Kluyveromyces lactis: one gene and its partner. The protein of the gene in region 1 binds, or shares a complex with, the protein of each later gene. Links are inferred from orthologs where the notes say so. Each region holds a gene or a part of one and is shown on either strand. Other genes may lie near its edges.

Region 1 (2,382 bases):
TATGCTTCGAAGAATGTCAGAACTGGTTTCGAGTTTTTCTGGCCTTCACATTGCTTCGGCTGGTTCAAAATCGGTTGTGACTCCAAGTGATAATGCGGACCTTACAAAGGGTGGTAGAAGGAACCAAGCATTGACAAAACCGATCACCATCGATAGTAATACAGGAGAGGTACTGGTTAGGAAAACAACAGGTAAAACGAAAGTAAGAAGAGGTCAGAGCGCGGAAGAATATAAGGAACAACTTAGACAGTATTTCTTGGAGGAGAAAGGTCCAACGAGAACTGAGGAAGATGCCTTGAAGATGGAAGATTTTGATCTGTTGATTGAAGATGAGAGTTTTGACTATGCATTGAAGCAAGTACGACAGAAAATGGTCTCTTATGCTCAGAAATATTATTACGAAAGAGATTACATGAAGTGTTTAAAAGTATCAGAGCCGTTATTGCATAAGTTCGAGCCGTTCAATAAGAAAAACAAGATACGCAGAGAGTTAGAAGAACTCAGATACATGATCGAAAAGTCAAAAGCAAGGTTGGAATTGCAACCGTCCCGCTAGTATTTGATATGTCTACACTGAAATATCTATGTAACTCTATATTAATGTGCGCTTCCCATACTAATATTGATTACGCAATTATACAGGACTTATACGCACTTCAACACCGCTCAAAGTACGCTTTGTCAGTTCCGTTTCCCTGTCCTCTGTTGAAACCTCATTTCCATCTTCATCTTTACCATCATCAGCGAATACCTCATCCAAAACATCTAATGTCTTCGTTAATATGTCAACTTTGTAATCACCCATTGTATTGAAGTGTGCAGCAACTGATAGAGTTTTGAAAACAGCTTTACCCATGCCCAGTAGTGTAATGTATTCACTTTTACGTCTATGCAGGTTGGAAAGAAACCTGTTGGTTCGTTTCACCACGGAAATGTAAGGCGATGAGCTCTTCACGTAGATTGTAGTTTTAATTTTATCATGAGAAAACGTCTTCACTGTCGGAAGTTTTCTTCGTAACTGATTTAAATCCTTAGTATTTCCCATAACGTGGTGTTGTAAGGTTTTTTCGAACGCCCACGAAGCAGATTGCTTCTCTTGTCTTCTTAGAAAAGCCGTTTCTCTTGTTCACTTCTTCAGGCCAATTCAAAATCAGAGACTTTAATTAAAAGGAAATATAGATTACAATACCGATTGTGCAAATAACAAGTAAAGGGCAAGAAAAGAAAACGGCGTCTGGATAAGCTCAAAATCGGTTATTAGTGCATACAATATTGTTCAGATGTACCATGAGCAACAAGAAACTTCATGTCAGATTTGTTTCTAAATCGAAATCAGTTAATCCCCCATATAAACCACAAGACTTAGAGCCCATTACAATTGCATGTCTTTATAGATTATATCCTTGGCTCCTACTGCTGGACCAGTTATTGGATAAACTTATGTGGCATATTGACGATGTTTCCTTACAGTTGATATATATTATATTGCTATGTTACTCAACAGCGTTGGTTGTACCGAAGAATACTTCCTTACTTTTCCAAGCGTTTGATATATGGTTGGGGTACACAAGCGTATTCATTCTTGCTGGCACTATGTTTTATTACAATTATACGCTATGGAAAGAGCTTGAACAGAGCGAAGCACCCACAATAGATGAAATCACTCATACTTTGGACTCTGTTCTTGAGAAGCTTAAAACGGTTCAAAATGAAGTCCTCGGTACAGACAAGGTAAGAAAACTTACTAATATCAATTCACAAACCTTTAAGATAGTGGCTCTTCTGACAGTAATTCATTTAATTACCGTTAGTTTTTTGGATGTACGAACATACTCAGTGCTTGTCATTAGCCTTGTCTCCGTGTTCCATTCAGTGTATTACCAGAGCACGATGAAACTCCTATGGAGGTATTTGTGGATAAGGCGATGTTACTATTATATATGGGACAGCGTACCATCGGAATCCAAACTGGAAACCAACTTTCAACAATACAAGGTGATTTGTGAGAGTCAAGTCATTCCATTCCCTAAATCTCTACAAGGCTTGAAGGGCCAAGAGCTACAGGTTCAACTACAAATGTTAATCCTTCAGGATCCAACTAAGATTGATCCAGAATCCGATTACGTACACGTCAAGATCATCGAATACAACGTTGATGAAAACGAGAGAAAATGGAAGCAAGAGGGCTGGACCCCAAAATTGCTACCTTACGAAAGAGCTCACTTCTCTAATTCATTCACCCAAACTCCATCTGTAACACCATGGAAGTTCCACGAAGAACTACCTTCCGATTGGATCTGGATTGAATCTACTTGGGTACCCGGCAGCTGGCAATACTGTGATGCAAAATGGAATTTATTAGGTGCGAACGATTCGATTGCA
Region 2 (2,341 bases), about 1.3 Mb from region 1:
GTCACTGTCCCAAGAGACTCTGCAATGAGATTCTTAGTAATTGGATCCTCAGTAAATGTTCGTGGCGAAGAAACAAGAACTTATACGTTGGACTTTGTGGACATGTTTTCACGTCAATGTCAATATTCGAAAGATGATCTAAAAGATTTCGAATATATTTCATTAAGTCACCCTAACACCAAGGAGTGCTTGTTTGGACACAAGGCAAAATATTTACGTAAAAAGTCTGACGATTGTTATGTCGGCATGGCACCTCTCGAAGATAAATTTAGGATTTTTGCAAACTGTTCCTGTACCAGAAATGACTATGAATGTGATTATAATTTCATGCGTGTGTCTGATGGTACTTGCAAGTTAATCGATGGCTTAAAACCAGCAGATCCTAAAGACATCTGCTCCAAAGACAATTCCTTAATCGAATACTTCGAACCAACTGGCTATAGAAAGATCGCTCTTTCTACCTGCAATGGCGGATTGATGCTCGCTAACTCTGATAGTCCTCACCCTTGTCCAGGAAAAGAGAAAGAGTTCAAAGAGAAGTATAAAGTAAACCATACATCATTCTTAGCAATATGGATCTTTGCTGTTCTGATATTCACTGGCATGCTGTCATTCATTTATTATAGAGGTATAAAGAGGAATGGTGGGTTTGCTCGTTTCGGTGAAATTAGATTAGGAGATGATGACCTCATAGAAGAGAACAATACCGATAGAGCTGTAAACACAGTTCTTAGAAACGGAGTGTTCCTCTTCTCTAATGTTTACACCGGTCTTCAATATTTCGGACACCAAGTGGGGAATTTCTTCAAGAGAGGCTTAAGCAGATTTGGAAACACAACAGGTCCAAGTTATCAATCCCTCTTACACGATCAATTTTTAGATGACGCAGATGATTTACTTGTTGGACACGATGAAGATGCTGACGATCTTGCAAGTTTCATCGAGAATGAGGGTAATTTTGAAATCGGTAACGACGAAGAAGTTGACCTCTCATCTGATACACCAACCCATGCACCATATTCTGATAACCCAGAGGAAGCGAATCCTCATGAGTCAACTTAAAACATCAACACTTACCTAGTTTATGTTTTTGAAGATACTCGAACTCTTTAACATTATACATAATTTTCGTATAGAAAATGGATTTTAATTTAACTTTCGGGTAGTTCACTACTAACAGCTTATAATCTTTATAAAGTAAACATAGAGGCATATATGAGTGTCATACCTTGAAATTTTTTCAGTCTTTCTGATCAGTTAATCTTTGAATAAACCTTTTTCAATGTGAAAATGTGAAATTTAAACCTGGATAAGAATAACTAACAATACAAGAGAAGCGAATATTGATGTCGGCTCGATTCCGGTAGTATGTGTTCAGAGTTTGTCTAATCTCTCATCTTTTCGAAAAGGATCAAGGAACAAACATGGCTAAGTTCAAACCAGAATGGTTTTATTTTAAACTAAAGGTAACGTCGCATGATTCGGAAAAAGACAATGAGATCCAAGTGGATAAAGTAACTTGGCTTCAAATGTTGAATACAGCTTTGAAAAGATCTCACGGTGTATTTGGCGAAGCAATTGAGTACGAATTATTATACGTGGATAATTTGGATACTATTGCAAAGGTAAGCGTCAATGATACTGATATTTTTACTACTGCCATAAGCACTTACATAGCGAGCGATGAGTTGGTCGGTACCTCACTAATAATAAATGTGCTCGAACAAAGCAATAACCTGTCCGGATTGACCGTTCATGAGGATGATAGAATATGGTTCAAGAAATTGGTAGAATCCGAAGCCGAGATAGAAGCTGAATCCAAAGAAAAAGAAAGATTATAAACTAAATCATAAATATTGATGCATAAAATAATAATAACCCAGAATGGTGGAACACGGAAGAACGATTACTTCCATTGAAAGAAGCCACAAGATGCTTCTGGATCATCTTTTTCGCCTTTTGATCGATTGCACACCCAAAACTTTTTACCAAAGCTTTTGTCAGTCTTAGAGACTCGAAGAACAGCTTCTTCACCATGTTCACAAACTGGTGCTTTTCCAAGCATTTCCTCGAAAGCCTTCATATGTGCACTCTTGACGCGCGACTGAGGCTGTATCGATACATTTTTGTTTTGATCTTTGGAAACTGTTGCTGAGGCCAGAGCATTCATGCCGTTATATTGCTTGACATTCAGTGGTTTTACTACTTTGCCCGTGCTTGTCGTGGAAGGACTGGTGCTTTTGCGATTGGCCTTGCGGAACATATCTAAAATGTTCCCATGGTTCAAGAAATATCTCGTGGCAGCCTCAAATTTTGGCTTATTGAAGCTTTCATGTTTAAG

The links. Proteins that work in one complex are often made in the same cells at the same time.
Region 2: POP7 (region 1) and POP8 share a complex: the UniProt entries of both Saccharomyces cerevisiae proteins name them as parts of the nuclear RNase P and RNase MRP complex. The link is inferred for Kluyveromyces lactis from reciprocal best matches to the Saccharomyces cerevisiae genes POP7 and POP8.

What each region holds. Positions count from the first base shown.
Region 1 is NC_006041.1:2,187,569-2,189,950, reverse strand, and holds POP7 (ribonuclease P/MRP protein subunit POP7), read right to left. Parts: upstream 1,046-2,382; coding exon 635-1,045; downstream 1-634. Other genes in the region: KLLA0_E24685g (uncharacterized protein), read left to right, coding at 2-556; PEX32 (Pex32p), read left to right, coding at 1,288-2,382. UniProt on the Saccharomyces cerevisiae protein: Component of ribonuclease P, a protein complex that generates mature tRNA molecules by cleaving their 5'-ends. Also a component of RNase MRP, which cleaves pre-rRNA sequences.
Region 2 is NC_006041.1:923,422-925,762, reverse strand, and holds POP8 (ribonuclease P), read left to right. Parts: upstream 1-1,424; coding exon 1,425-1,841; downstream 1,842-2,341. Other genes in the region: PEP1 (type I sorting receptor), read left to right, coding at 1-1,062; DNA-(apurinic or apyrimidinic site) lyase APN2, read right to left, coding at 1,907-2,341. UniProt on the Saccharomyces cerevisiae protein: Component of ribonuclease P, a protein complex that generates mature tRNA molecules by cleaving their 5'-ends. Also a component of RNase MRP, which cleaves pre-rRNA sequences.